Diceros bicornis minor: one gene and its partner. The protein of the gene in region 1 interacts with the protein of each later gene in a biochemical or structural test. Links are inferred from orthologs where the notes say so. Each region holds a gene or a part of one and is shown on either strand. Other genes may lie near its edges. The genes, in order: NUFIP2 and FMR1.

Region 1 (8,231 bases):
TTATACTCATACCACTCTGCTAGTTTCTCCCTCAAACTTTTTCCCATAATACTTTTCATAAAAGCAAAATGTCAATTTAAAAAACTTTCATATTTAGAAAAGTTGTCATATTCCACTTATTAAAAGACCAACTTAATTTACCCATACTTCTGTTCAACTCCTTTGAAAGTTTTTTGAAGTTAGTGTCTCTAGGCAAAAATATTAAGATCTAAAGGAAATATACATGAATAAAATTCTTTCCCTGCTGAAATAAAACAGTGGATGTTACCAGTGATTTGCCTCATTTTGAAACTGGAACTATCATCAGAGAGCCGATTTCCATTTATATAAAACTACATAATACTGTTTCTGATGATAATTTCTGTAAAGTTATAGTCAATTGTTACAGTTGAAATACTAGATTTTTATCAGCTAAATTTCCTGCTGCTGTATAGTTTTATTATAATAAAATAAAGGGGTAGTCCAGGGAGAAAAAGCAGAGATATGATCATGGAATGTTAGAGTGGGAAGAAATTTGGAGGCTACTTTGCCCATTCTCTATATTGTAGAGAGGAGAAAATTGAAGCCGGGAGAATTAAGTATTTCTGTATCTTTTAAGTTGTCATAGCACACAAAGTATAAGATTAAAGGCGTGTGAAAAGTGACTTTCATTTTTTTTTTTTTTTGAGGGAGATCAGCCCTGAGCTAACATCCATGCTAATCATCCTCTTTTTGCTGAGGAAGACCAGCTCTGAGCTAACATCCACTGCCAATCCTCCTCCTTTTTTTCTTTTTCCCCCAAAGCCCCAGTAGATGGTTGTATGTCATAGTTGCACATCCTTCTAGTTGCTGTATGTGGGACGCGGCCTCAGCATGGCCGGAGAAGCGGTGCGTAGGTGCGCGCCTGGGATGCGAACCCGGGCCGCCAGTAGCGGAGTGCGTGCACTTAACCGCTAAGCCACGGGGCTGGCCCAAAGTGACTTTCATTTGATAATTAAGACAGACTTGCAAATATATTTAACCGAGTCCCAAAACTGTATCAATAAGAGAAATGGATTTAAAAAACCTCGAAATAACAAAAAGCATAATACCTGGTACATAAAAAAAAAGTGCCTAATAAATATTTGTGAATGAACAATGAATAGAAAGATTTTATTACTTTCATTTTTCAAGTTCCCTCACAGTCTTTTAATTCATATTTTATACGCAATCATAATGTATACATATGTTATTTTGCTTTTTGTACTTGTGTTGCAGTGTCAACATTTTCCCATGTTGTTATAAAATATGACTAACCTTTTAAAGTACCTATTGAAATTACAACACTTCTGAGTCAGCTTCCCAAATGACTATTAACAGGGGTGAATCCAGGTTTTGGGGGGCCCTCATCAAGGAAAAAAATACAAAAATATATTACTTTTTAAAATTTTACAAAATAATGAAAAAATATCTAGCTCTTTCAAAAGACCAATTCTAGGGTCCCTCTGGGGCCTTGAATGAGCCTGTGCAGTGAGGGGCCCTGAATCTTCTTTAGCTTCACAGTACATCTGCCTCTGTTAATAACCAGATACCATCTTCATGGTGGTTATGGTAGATACCATCTTCATGGTGGTTATGATATAGCTTGAATGTTTTTTAGAGGTTTAGTAAAATTTGAGAAATGTATATCACACTTTGAAAGTGTTAGAAATTCTTTCTATCCAGCCAACCTGGAATCTATTTCAGGCCCCACTATAAACTTGGTGGCTTTTAAATTATAAACAAGTCTCTTAACTTCCTCAGCCCTCAAATTCCTCATCTGTAGAATGGGCTTATATATCTCAAAGAATTACAAATGAAAACAAAGATGAAATACTTGGTACAGTTCCTGACACACAGTATGTAGTAAATGCTCAATAAATATTAGCTATTATGATTACAGCCATAGATAAAACATTAACCTATCATATATTGGGAACCTCCTGCCTCTCCATTATAATTTCTCACATTGACTGTAGGTAAAATATGGTGTAAAATGAATTTCAAAGGATTGTGCAGACTCAATTTTTTATGATTTTAATTTTTAAAAATAATGTTGTTATGAAAAGTAATAAATACATAACAGAATATTTGGAAAATAGAGAAAAGAAAAAACAAGGCACCCATAAGTTCACCAGACTTATGCTATATTTCCTTGTTGTTTTTTTCCTAAATGCAGATTCCATTTTTTAAAAATATGCTTAAAATAAGTAGATGCAATCATTCTCTTTTCATAGAGGTTTGATATTATGGCATTATTATTTTCAAATACATGACAAATATCAAATATATTTTACGTAAAACTTAGAAAAATCAGGTGAAAGAAAAGGTACACATTCTACTGTTGTATTTCCATACTTATTAAAATATTCATGTTTTTACAAGGTTATGATCCTAGTGTACAAGGAATTTGATATTCTGCATTTTTCTTACATTATATCACAAGCCTTTCTCTGTACTCCTACATACTACTAAAGCAACATTCATAGTAAGTAGAGCATCTGAGAGCAAGGCTTAGTTTCCTAAACTTCATACAACCGTATGTGAAGAAACTAAAGCAGGCTAAGGTGTGATAAGTCAGCAACTCAGAGTGAGTGCTTTTGGTTTGCCTGCAACTAGAATGTAGAAAATGTAGAAAGAGAAGTTAGAACTCAGGAATTTTTGCCTTCCAACTAAATGTCTAAGTCAGCAAAAGAACATAAAGCTCTATCAACTAACCCTAAATTCTATATACACTTTTATTTCTTCTTCTTCTTTTTTTTTTTTGTGAGGAAGATCAGCCCTGAGCTAACATCCATGCTAATCCTCCTCTTTTTGCTGAGGAAGACCGGCTCTGAGCTAACATCTATTGCCAATCCTCCTCCTTTTTTTTTGCCCCCAAAGCCCCAGTAGATAGTTGTATGTCATAGTTGCACATCCTGCTAGTTGCTGTATGTGAGATGCGGCCTCAGCATGGCCAGAGAAGCGGTGTGTTGGTGCACGCCCGGGGTCCGAACCCTGGGCCGCCAGTAGCAGAGCGCACGCACTTAACCGCTAAGCCACGGGGCCAGCCCCTATTTCTTCTTTAATAGATGGGTAAGTGGTGGAATACTATTCAATGGCAAAGACTTATTTGTCACAATATGTTATTATTGAGGTTTTAGCTCTCAAAATTGGGTAAATATACTTCCCCCCACCTGAAGAGGTCTTCCTTTAAAATTTAGCAAGGCAATACAAACCCTCACTATAAAGAATAAGTCAAGATCTGGTCATGGTTGTCTGGATTCAGTGACATTTGCTGTCAGAAAAGGGCTTTTACTTTTTAATTACGCTTTTGTGTTGATATTTATTAATTTCAGATCAGAAACTTTTCCTTTTAAGCTTTTCTTTGTTCCTTTAACATTGTCCTGTTGTAGGAATTCAAGGCACATTTTAAAAATTGTAAAATATGACATACGTTGAGGAAACAACCCATATATCCATTGCTGAATGAATGGATAAACAAAATGTGGCATATACATACAATGGAATATTATTCAGCCTTAAAAAGGAAGGAAATTCTGATACATACCACAACATGGATGAACCTCAAAGACATTATGCTAAATGAAATGTCAGACACAAAAGCACAAATATTGTGTGATTCCACTTATATGAGGTATCATAGAGAGAGAGAAATAAATAGTGGTTACCAGGGGACGAAGGGAGTAAGGAAAGGGGAGTTATTGTTTAATGGGTACAGGGGTTCAGTTTGGGATGATGAAAAAGTTCTGGAAATGGACAGTGATAATGGTTGCACAACAATGTGAGTGTACTTACTGCCACTGAACTGTGTACTTAAAAATGGTGAAAATAGTAAATTTTATGTTTTATGGTAAATTAAAAAAAATCCCCCCAATAATACATATACTGAGAAAACTGTTACACATACATACATATTCAGTTTAAGAAATAATTATAAAGCAAATATATGTATAGTCACCCTATTATTTGTACCCCTCCCCAGCACTAACCCTTTTCTTCCTTTCTGAGTAACCACTATCCTGACTAATGTTTGCTTTTTTTTAATTTTTAATTTATTTATTTATTTTTTCCCCCAAAGCCCCAGTAGATAGTTGTATGTCATAGCTGCACATCCTTCTAGTTGCTGTATGTGGGACACGGCCTCAGCATGGCCAGAGAAGCGGTGCGGTGCGCGCCGGGGATCCGAACGCCGGCGGTAATGTTTGCTTTTAAAAATCAGGCTGTGATGTGATTTTGCAGGATAAGTTAAATCAATACTACGAAATGCAACAAAGTACTTCTTTAAATTCCAACATTTCCCACAAATGCAAACAATTTTTTACAAACTTAATAACTTTTAAAGTGTGCTTTTCCCTCTTCTTTTGCTTTTGAATCTCTTCATATTCTAAAACCTATCTCGGTTTCACAGTTGACCTCACCTGCAGAGTCAAAAAAAAAAAAAATCTTCAGTGTAGATTTTAGATTTTCATTCCTCCCGCTCTCCCTTGCCTCCAACTACAAAGAAACAATGATTTAAACCCTTTGTGCCCTTTTAGAAAATTACACAGATACCCCATTGTGGAACCCTATAATCCCTTCGTGGAAAGGAAGAGATTAGCATATGAATACAAAGCAAAATGAATCCAGAATACAAAATGATCTACTGGATTGCGAAGCTCTTGTATTCTTAAAAATGTATTTATTTCCTCTTTTTGTATTGCCCCTTTAGTGGTCTCAGGGTTAAGGGAATTGAGCTTCCCCTCTGGTTACCCGGAAAAGGATTAAAAGAAAAAAAAAGCCAACAGATTCTAGGAGGTGCAAAACCAACAGATGGCTCCCAGAGCCAGTGGAATCGCCAGTGGAATCTGCTACACTCGACATGAGCTTGCTTGCCGGCGAGGAGTGTAGAAAGTGCGGTTCGCAGACTGCGTGGTGAAGGAGAAAAAGCGACAGAAGAGAGAGCCATAGTGCTGACGTTGAAGGCCCGGCCCTGTGAGGTTGCATAGGGTAAGCGGCGTTGGCCAGAAGGCAGTGGCGAAGGGGAAGGAAAGAGGATTTGGGCTAGGGGCGGGGCCTGCGGCGCAGCGTGGCTCCTGATTGCTGGAGTGCGGCTGCCAATCTCGCCGAATCGCTGGGTTAACCAGTGCGCTGGCGAGACGCGGTCAGATATACTGAGCGAGCCCTGAGAAGCAGTCTCAGATCCTGACGGTGCAGCAGCCCGCAGCCTCAGCCAGGGAGTCCCAGCCGCTTTCAATGGAGGAGAAGCCCGGCCAGCCACAGTCTCAGCACCATCACAGCCACCACCATCCGCACCATCATCCCCAGCAGCAGCAGCAGCCGCCGCACCACCACCACCATTATTATTTCTACAACCACAGCCACAACCACCATCACCACCACCATCACCAGCAGCCTCACCAATACCTGCAGCATGGAGCCGAGGGCAGCCCCAAGGCCCAGCCAAAGCCGCTGAAACATGAGCAGAAACACGCCCTCCAGCAGCACCAGGAAACGCCGAAGAAGAAAACAGGTCTGGGAGGGAGGACGAATGGGGGAAGGGGAATGGGGGGTGGCGGGTAGGGGAGATGGGGGTGGGGCTGGATCAGGAAAGCGCGAACGGGTTCGGGGTGCGCGTGTGCGTGTGTGTGTCCTGCGGGTCTGGGGAAGCCCCCTTTCATTTTCCCAAACCTCGGGCTGAGCCGCGGGGCTTGCAGCACCCTCTCCTTCCCCTCAGCATGGGAGAGGCCCAACCAGGCCAGTGTGACCTTCCCGGCCCCCGCCCGGGCTGGAGGGAGACCCGGAGGGTCGGCCTTGGAAGTCTAGCCTTACTATTCCTTTCCCGTTCACCTTCCTGCGGCCCTGGAAGGACCTTAATTTGGGGGCCCTGAGTTGGGGTGAACCCAGCGCCCCCCCAAAGAAATCCTTTGGGTGTAACTCAGGAAGGCCTAGCGAATCCCGACTCGGGTAGTGTCGCGAGACCCTTTTGCAGGCGGCGAGGAGAGGGTAGGTGGGCAGAGTTGAGGAAGTGTCCTCTCTCACTCGCCGCCCCAAGCCCACCTGTGGCCTTGGGGTTCCCCGTCGGGGGGGGGCGGTTGGGACCCCTCGTCTTTCGGGTCATTTCCACCCCTAGACGCTCCTTTTCGGCACCAGACCCCGCAGTTTGTCCCCGCGGCTCCTCCCGAGGCGTGCGCCCCGGGCCCGCTCCCCCCAGAGCCGGCGCGGCTGGAATGTTCTCTCCTCCTCGCGGGGCCGCTTCCTGTCCGCCATGTTGGAAGCCGATTCCTGTCACCGACTCCGGGCCACTGAGGAGCGGAGGGGGAAGGGTGTCGAGGGGCGCTCGGCGCGGCTGAGCCGGGTCGCTGGGGATCCCTTCGGACTGTCGCCTGGCCCCCCCGCACTGCGGGGGCGCCGCCGCCCCAGGCCCGCGGCTGCCCCTCCCCCCGTCGCCGGCCGGGTTGTGTAACCCGGTGGCGGCCGCGCGGCCCCGGGCGGGTCCCTGGGGTGAGGGGCGGGGGCGGTTGAGGTGGGGGAGGGAAGCGGCCACGAGGGGAGCGGCCTGCGCCGGCCCCGCGCGCCGGCGGCCGCGTTTCCCGCTCCCGGGTGCGGCGGGAGGCGCGGGCGGTCAGGGCGGGGAGCCGGCCTCCGAGCGGAGCGGAGCCGAGGGAGAAGGAGGCCGCGGGCGGCGGCCGCCGTGCTCCTCGGGGCAGGAGGGCTGGGGGGGCATACATTTTGCGTAGAGGCGGTGCCTGAAGGCCGGGTGGGGTACCCAGCGGGAACCGGGCTCCCCGGTCACGAGTTTCTCTGCCACAGGAACCTCGTCTCCTGCCAGGTTCGCTCACGACTCCGCCTCTCAGGCTTTCACTTGGGCCCTTTCCTTCTAGCAGCTCATTTTTACAAAAAAAAAAAACTTGTTCTATCTCCTTCTAACCTCCCCAACATTTACCTTCTGGGCTTGGGTAGTGTTTTTGAGGAGAGAGATTAGAAAAATGTTTGATTAGACGGGGGAGAGGGCGAGTTTTTTTTGATCCCTGTTTCTTGTCGTTAGGGGTGAACCGAGGTGGCTCATCCATGAGGTTAGTTCACTACCATCTTGCCTCGGATGAGGCTTTTTCCATGTTGAAAGGTGTTTTCTCCTTTAAACCGATATTGATGCCAAAACTCGTTTTGAACAATTGTTAAATTGAGAGTAAAAGTCATTTTAGAAAACATTTGAGAAGAGGTGAACTTAAAAATTTGTAAGCACGCAGATTTTAAAAACTAAGGGTTCTTTATAAATTGAAGAGAAACGAAGGAATGGTAAGAAAATGAATGTTAAACCCAGCATGTCAGATTTGTTACAAGCAGTTACTGAGAGCTGGAGAAAAACTACTTTTCTGTTGCGGACTTAGTGTAACTTGAAGACTGAAATTAGAATGTCAGATTTTCTATTTTGGAGGATGGTGGGGACTGATGGTGTGTGGTGGAAATAAACATGTAAATATGTTGAGTGTTTAATCCTAAGGTCTGGAGCAGTTTAAAAACTGTTAGAAACTATACAACACTAGATCTTTTTATCGTTAGGTCTTTTTCAACTTAAGGGTGAGAAAATCTTACCTTATTATAGTTGCTTGGAATATAAGGCAGTATTACTGTTCAGATTGGAAAATTGTATTTTGTTGATCAGGTACTGTATGACTATACACGCTCCTGCAGGACTTCTGTCTACATATAGAAGCAGCCTTTGAGCTATTCAAAGTGGCATCCTTCAAATTAGTATGTCTTGTCCTGGAAGGGGGTAAATAGGGGAAACTGGGCTTAGCAATTTTGAGAGAATGTAAACAATTTAGGATGAGCAGTTTTTCGTGTGTGGCCTGGTCACAGTACTATTGCTTCAACATACATAATGCTCATTTACTGAGAAAACTTATGAGGATTTTTGAAATGGATCTGTAATTTGTTGAGGTGGGCTTTTATGACCCATTACCCACAAACCTATGAAGAGGAACAGTTTTTATTTATCCAGAAGAGGTCGCAGGAGAGGCCCAAATGTGTTCAGTAATTTCAGTTTCTAATCCAAAAGTCAGCAGGACTCAGGTTTTGCTGCGTCCATTTGAAGTAGGGTTAGATGCTTTAACATGGCAACCCTTAGTAATAAAGGCACTAGGAGTCCTTTGATTTCTCTGAGTAATTCTATAGTATTTACATTTTTCTTAAATACGTAAGTTTTAAAATGAAACTGTGTCTGTGGGTGACTGCCTACCAACAAGGTTGCC
Region 2 (7,383 bases), on another chromosome or scaffold:
TAGGAAATGTTTTGTAAAGATCTTGTGAGGTATAATTCAAGTGTCTTCATGTCTTAAATAACATTAGGCTCTATAAATTGCACATGTGACTTATTTCTAAGTCAAAGAAATACCTAAGCATAAAAGTAGTGGCTCTGACAACTACTAAATCTAATTGTCAAGTGTTTAAGAATAAACACCAAAGGGAAAAATAGAAATGAGCTGTTACAATCTCAGGGTTTAGGTTTCATGGTTCTGTAAATTCTGAATCCTGAGAGTTACTTTACACAGACTTTGTAAAGTAATTTTGAGTTACTTTATAGAGAAAGAATCCAAATGTTCACAGCATATACTCTATCCAGTTTATATTGCAAACTTGGACCATGCACTCAGAAGATGGAGAACTGTCCCTTGTAATATGGTGGTTCTGTTAGGCAAATCAAAGTCTGAATTCAATTATACTGAAGTCGTTTGAGTTGTTTAGTTTGTAAAGGTTTTTCTATCAATTTGATGAACCAGCGTCTGATTTTTTCATAAATGTAACATTTCTCCATAATAGTTCATTTTTTATTGGTCTTTATTTCCCATCTTTTCTGCCCATCCCACTGGACAAGCAACTCAGTTTACTTTTGCTTTACTTTCATAACTCAAAGCAATATTGAGTCCTATAAAAAAAATTAAGGCTTTTCCATTACAGAAACTATTTTTCCACCAATACAGACCATTTGAGATATTCTTAAAAATAAACCTTAATTAAATAAACATAACAGCAATTTCTCTACATACATTTGTTTAAGTTTCACATTTCCCCTCAAGTAACTAAGGGACAACCACTCTTTTTATTCACCTCCATATTAAGCAACTTGGTTAAAAAACAAAAACAGGCGGGATTAACAGCAAAGATAGAGGGAATTTCTTATATTCCAATCAGTTTGCAAGCAAAATCACAGAAGCAAATCATAGGTTGCTGGAAGAGAACAATAAATCCTTCAAGACCAGGATGTGCTACTTGCCCTCCATAGCAAGCAAACTACACTAAAGACAGTAAGAGTGGCGTCCAATCTGAGCTAATATCACAGATCTATTAGAATACTGCTCAACCATTAGCCTCTGCTCATATTTATTATAGTTAGCGCCACAAATCTAGTGAGTAAAACTATCAATCTAGGAACCAGAACGATTCTACACAAACCAGCAGAAATTATGCATCACTGAAATACATACAACCAAAATTCTGACTGCAGAGTCAACTGAAACTGTTAAGAACATAACTGCTGGGTTATTTTTTCATCCTTTTACAGCTAAAGGTTTCATCTTTTTGCTAAAAGTATGGGACAGTTTACATACTTTACTCACTTATGAAATATACCGATCTCCAAATATCTCCATAAAATTAGTAAACACACATATAGTTAAGTCAACTGTTTATTTTCCTATAGCCAAACGAGTCCCATTTGAAACGTTTAAGTTATCCCATAATAAACTGAAGAATTGTGTTGGACAATGGCAATAGCTAATTTCCATGCCTGCTTCCATACCCACCACCTTCTATTGCCAAAACACTGTAGTAAAGTGGGATGTTACTTACAGAAGCTATAGAGGGACATTCAAGAGAAAAGGAGAATTTATAGATTACTAGAGCTACAGTAAGTACGTACCAACAGACGCACTACCAGTACATCAATACACCAAAATATTTTCAATCCTCCTTTTGAAAATGTAAGGTATCAGCCGATCTGCAATGGTGTAACTTAAAAAACAAAAACCCACAGTAAAACCATACATGCCTATTTAAAACCTCAACAATACAGTCCACTACAACATTACACACAGAAAACATAGTCATGTATTTGGAGCACAAAACAATTATTTCCACTCACTTTTTCAAGTTCCCTAGTAATAAAATACTCTGTTAATTTCCTGAAGTTTCACGGCATATATTCAGGGTTTTGGAGGGTTAAAATTTTTTTTTTTCTCAAGCAACAGATTTGCTAATGTTTTTAGATGCTGAAGCATCTGTATTCCTGACTTTGCCCACATTCATAACAGGGAGGGAGGCTGCGAATATTCAAGATTACCAACTTCTTTAATGCATTACTCGGATATGTCAAGGTATTCCTGAAACTTTTGGATCTAAAATCTCTTCTGAAATCCACAAAGAGAGGCCACTAAAAATCAGTTGCCATTGTGATTTGGTACTGACTACAGCTTCTTACTATTCTTTCTTCACACCCCTCGCCCAGAGCAGTGGAGCTCTCCGAAGTCCCAATGCTGGACAGGAAAAGAGAAGCCAAAGGAGATCTCAAATCCTCTTTACAAGGCAGGAGGCGGCGGCTCGACGGAAGCGCCCCCAGCTCCTCAGCAACTACCCACACGTCAGGCCCGGATCCCACTTGGAGAGGATATTTAGGAAAAGAGAAATAAGCCGTCGCCGTCACTCCGCGCGGATACCCGCCCTTCTCGCCAGGATCTCGTACCTGCCGCCGGCCCTCGCCCATCCGCAGCTCTCCCTGGCGGGGTTCGGCCCCCGAAAGGGCACCCGCTTCTCCTTGCCCACTTCTCATTCCTATAGGCGCCGGGGCCTCTCGTAGGCGAGGCAGCGGGGCTCGAGGGGCTTCCCACAGGCCCCAAGTCCGCTCTTCCCTCCCAAACAACATCCCGCCGAGCGCGCCCTGGCCCCTGGGCGCGGCGCTCGGCAAGAGGGCCCCAGGCCTGCCTCCCGCCGAAGCCAAGAAGAAAAGGGAGGGAAAGAAGGGCGAAGATGGGGCCTGCCTTGGAGCCAAGTACCTTGTAGAAAGCGCCATTGGAGCCCCGCACTTCCACCACCAGCTCCTCCATCTTCTCGTCGGCCCTGCTCGCGCCGGGAGCCCGCCCCCGAGAGGTGGGCTGCGGGCGCTCGAGGCCCAGCCGCCGCCGCCGCCGCCGCCGCCGCCGCCGCGCTGCCGCACGCCCCCCGGCAGCGGCACCGCCGTCACCGCCGCCCGCGCTCGCCGTCGGCTCACCGCCCGCTCAGAGGCGGACCCTCACCGGAAGTGAAACCGAAACGGAGCCGAGCGCCTGACTGAGGCCGAACGCTCTGGCCGTTCCGCGTGTAAACAGTGAAACCGCATCACGTGACCGGCGCCGCCCCTCCCCCCGCGGGCTCAGCCCCCTCGGCTCCGCCCTCTTTCTCCTCGCGGGCCCAGGAGCGCGCGCATGCGCTCTGCTGGGACCCGGCCGTGGAGGCCGGGCCCAACGTAAGGCGCGCGGGCTCGGCAGAGGGCGGGAATGCAGGAAGGGCGGCGACGGGTCGCAGCGCTGGCCGAGGTCGCGCTGCTTCGCGTTGCCCAGCGAGCGCCAGAGCGCCCGTTCCTGTAAAGGGGCAATCGGAGGCGTGGGAAAGAGCCTCCCGTAGCGATCGAGTGGATTCACTTATCCGAGTCCGGCTGGCTGGCTTGGGTTGGAAGGTTTTTTTTTTTTTTTTTGAAGTGGGGCAGGATCTGATTGAGCTGGAGGTGGAGTAGGGGACAAGAGTAAAGGTGAAAAATTAGATTGAAGACTTTGAACTAGTAATAGTAGCAACCACGGTGACCCAGGTTTGTGTGACCCTTAGAGGCAGGAGGTGAGAGTAACACCGCCCCCACCCCCAAGAGATTTTGGGCTGTATTTTGACATGTCCTGTGCCTCTGAGGGGCAATGGATTGTGTCAGGACCTCTGAAAATGTTAGTCTTTCCTCAGATCCAGCACTGATCCATATACTTCCCTTTCGATTCGGTTTCATACTTTTACTTGACATACGTAAAAAAAAGTTAAACACTTTTTAGTTCCTTTACAGTTTATTTCCCTACTATTTTGCTCCTTCTGTATGCCCACCCTCTACCAAAGCGTGGGTGGGCATGTGTAGAGTACTCCGGTGACCTATCTACAGGGGTCCTGCACCTGTTTCCTTGCAGCTCTCCCCCTTTGCTCTTCACAGGAGAACAAGTTGCAACTCTTGCTCATTCCTCCTTCTGCACTGTGCTTGTATCCACCTTGACCTAGGTTTCTTTTGTAAGGCTTGTATCCAACTGAGAAGCTTATTGACCCCCTACCAGATACCAGGCACTGTGCTAAGTGCTAGTGAGACATTGGGAAAGAAAAATAAAGCAAGAAAAGAGAAAGAAAGAAAAGACAGCCAGCATAGAACTTGGAACCTAGATGCATAGATGGACATAAATTATCAGAAAAGTAAATGGGGAGTTGCAACTGTAGTAAGAGCTGTGATGAATAGGTACAGCTATGATAGTAGGACAGGACCCAGTCTGGGGTAGGGGAGGAGAAGTCAGAGCTGGGAAATGACTCCAGCTGGAGTGCCACCAGTATGAGTTAACTAGCAGCACTAAGTTGGTGGAGGTGGGGTGAACTGACCCAGGCAGGTGCCCCAGAACGTGAGGCATTCCTGGACCTCCAGTTCCCTTCCCACCCCACTCCTAGCCAGAGCAGCAGTGTTGTTGCTGATGGAGCTCCAATTTTAAAGCAGTGGATCAAGGGCCACCTTCCTTGAGGCCACAGTCAACAGGAATGACCCATTGGACCGGGGTTTCTGGAGTAGTCACAAGATACAAAGACCCCAATAGGGCTGAAAGAGAATTTCACCATATGCTAGATGGGAACAGAGCGTGATCTTTAACCCCAATGTAGTAAAAGGGCACAGATTTGTTAGAATGATTATACCTTCCACGTGTGGGATGTTGTTCAGTTTACCCAGGGCTTTCAAATATTATCAGCTCTTTACAACCAGTACAAGCCACACTAAACTGGTGCTGTTCCCTGAACCTGTGATGCACTTTCATGCCTTCATGTCTCTACACATGCTTCCTGGCCCCCAGAAATACCCTTCTCCTTAGGGTCATCACCTGGATTCCTATTAGCTAGTTGTTTTACCTCAGCTGCAGAGAGTTGAGTTAACTTTGCTCCTCAATTCTCAATACATTGCCGTCATCAGTCCCTGCAAGACCCTTCTCTTATTTATATTATTTTATATTGTTTATAATATTTTCCTCGTCTTTCTCAATCCTCACTCTCATTCTCTTTCTAGACACCTGCAATCCGTTTGATATAGATCCTTGACAATTTAAGACATGCAGTGTTTTGTGTATGCCTTTTACATTTACAGAGATGGTATTGGACTGTACATCTGTTTTGCACTGTTTTCATTCAACACTACGTTCTTGAGCTATATCCACATTACTGTGTGTACACCTAGTTTTTGGCTTCTAACTGCTGCTGAGTATTCAAGAGATTTTACTGATACATTTCCCCACTGATGGGCATCTAGGTTACTGCCAATTCCCTGTTGTCACACTGTGGTGAAAACCCTTGTGAATGTCTTTACGAACCTTAGCAAGAATTTCTTTTGTGCTCTTATAGAACCTTCTACATACCTCCTGCTTCCTCACCACACTGCTTGGCATATAGCAGGGACTCAGTAAATGTTAAATACCTCTACTATGATGCTTAATGTACTAGAATCACTTATTTATATTTCTGTTTCCCTCACTGGACTTTGAGTTCCTTCCAGGCAGGAAAGATGTCTTATTTATCTTTGTGTCCCTGGCACAGAGTTAGTTGCTCAAGCCTAAAACTGAGTCATTTTGACCCTCTCTTTCTTGCACACATCTAATCCATCAGCAAATTCTTTCGGAGACCATAATGTATTTCTCACCGCTTGCACTGCTAAAACCATGGTCCAAGCCCCTATTCTCTCTCACCTGGATTATTGCAACAACTTCGCTGGTCTCCCTGCAGCCACTCTTATCCTCTGTCTAGTCTCAACACAGAAGAGAGAGTGACCCTATTCAGGTGTCAGTCAAGTCACTCTCCACTCAGAACCCTCCAATTGTTCCCTAAATGCCTCCGGGTAAAAGCCAAAGTCCTTATTTATTCTGGCCTCACTGTCCTACCCACATTCGCCTCTGTTATCTCCTCTATCTCACCTTTTACCTCCCTGCTTCACTCCATTCCAGCCATACTGGCTTCTTTGCTACTTCTTGAAAATACCAGTCAGGTTCTGTCTGTCTCCTCTCCCTAGAATGTAAGTTCAGTGGGAACAGAGGTTTTTTTGTTTCTTTTATTACCTGTACGTCCCCAGTGCCTACCACAATGTTTAGAACACAGCAGGTGCTTACTAAATATTTATTGAATGAATGAATGTGTTGAGGACCCAGCTTGGGTCAAGTCTGCTCCCATGGCCTATATTTACCTGATATTGGAATGATGCTTCAGCACTTCTAGCCTTGCCTTGGCCCTTCGCTTCCATTAAATTGCTGCCTCTTGTCTTTGCATCGATTTATTCTGTGTTGCTTCCTGCTCCTTTGCAATTTGAGCCCTTTAAGTCTTTTTCCTGCCTCAATCCCAGCTGAAATGCCCTTTGTCCTTTCCAATTCTAGAAATCCTGTGTACCCTCTAGGACCCAGCTAAAACCTCACTTCTTTCATGACACTTTCTCTGACAATTTCACCTCACTTTGACTTCCCCTTTGAAGTAGATATTACAAAAAAAAATTAATAGTCTTTATGTTTTAGGATAGTTTTAGATTTACAGGAAAATTGAGCAGATAGTAGCGAGTTCCCATATCAGTTCCCTGATACCTCCCTCCCAGTTTCCTCTATTATTAACATCTTACATTACTGGGGTATATTTGCTTTCGTTGATGAGCCAATATTGATACCTTATTATTAACTAAAGTTCATAGTTCACATTAAGGTTCACTCTTTGTGTATGCATTTTGACAAATGCGTAATATCATGCATCCACCATTAGAGTATCATGTAGAATAGTTCCACCACTCTAAAAATCCCCTGTGCTCCACCTCTTTATTCATCAGCTCAACCTCCTAACCCTTGGTAACTACTGATGTTTTTACTGTCTCCATAGATTTTCCTTTTCCAGAGTGTCATATAGTTGGAGTTATACAGTATGTAGCCTTTTCAGATTGACTTCTTTCACTTAGCAATATGCATTTAAGGTTCCTCCATGTCTTTTCATGGCTTGATAGCTCATTTATTTTTAGCGCTGAATAATATTCTGTTGTCTATTCTGTTATATTGTGTGGATGTACCACAATTTATTTATCCATTCACCTACTGAAGGACATTTTGGTTGCTTCCAGTTTTTGTCGATTATAAATAAAGCTGCTGTAAATATTCGTTTGCAGGTTTGTGTGGACATAAGCGTTCAACTCATTTGGGTAAATACCTAGGAGTGAGATTGCTGGGTCATATAGTGACTATATTTGGCTTTGTAAGAAGCTGCAACTGTCTTCCAAAGTGGCTGTACCGTTTTGCGTTCCCACCAGCAATGAATGAGTGTTCCTGTTACTCCACATCCTCACATGCGTTTGGTGTTATCAGTGTTTTGAATTTTGACCAGTCTAACAGGTGTGT

Evidence for each region.
Region 2: the proteins of NUFIP2 (region 1) and FMR1 form a complex in vitro, tested with the Homo sapiens proteins (2 studies listed by BioGRID and IntAct, with this or other methods). The link is inferred for Diceros bicornis minor from reciprocal best matches to the Homo sapiens genes NUFIP2 and FMR1.

What each region holds. Positions count from the first base shown.
Region 1 is NC_080757.1:18,335,811-18,344,041, forward strand, and holds the start of NUFIP2 (FMR1-interacting protein NUFIP2), read left to right. Parts: upstream 1-5,166; 5' UTR 5,167-5,232; coding exon 5,233-5,509; intron 5,510-8,231. UniProt on the Homo sapiens protein: Binds RNA.
Region 2 is NC_080781.1:132,463,351-132,470,733, reverse strand, and holds the start of FMR1 (fragile X messenger ribonucleoprotein 1), read right to left. Parts: upstream 3,051-7,383; 5' UTR 2,818-3,050; coding exon 2,767-2,817; intron 1-2,766.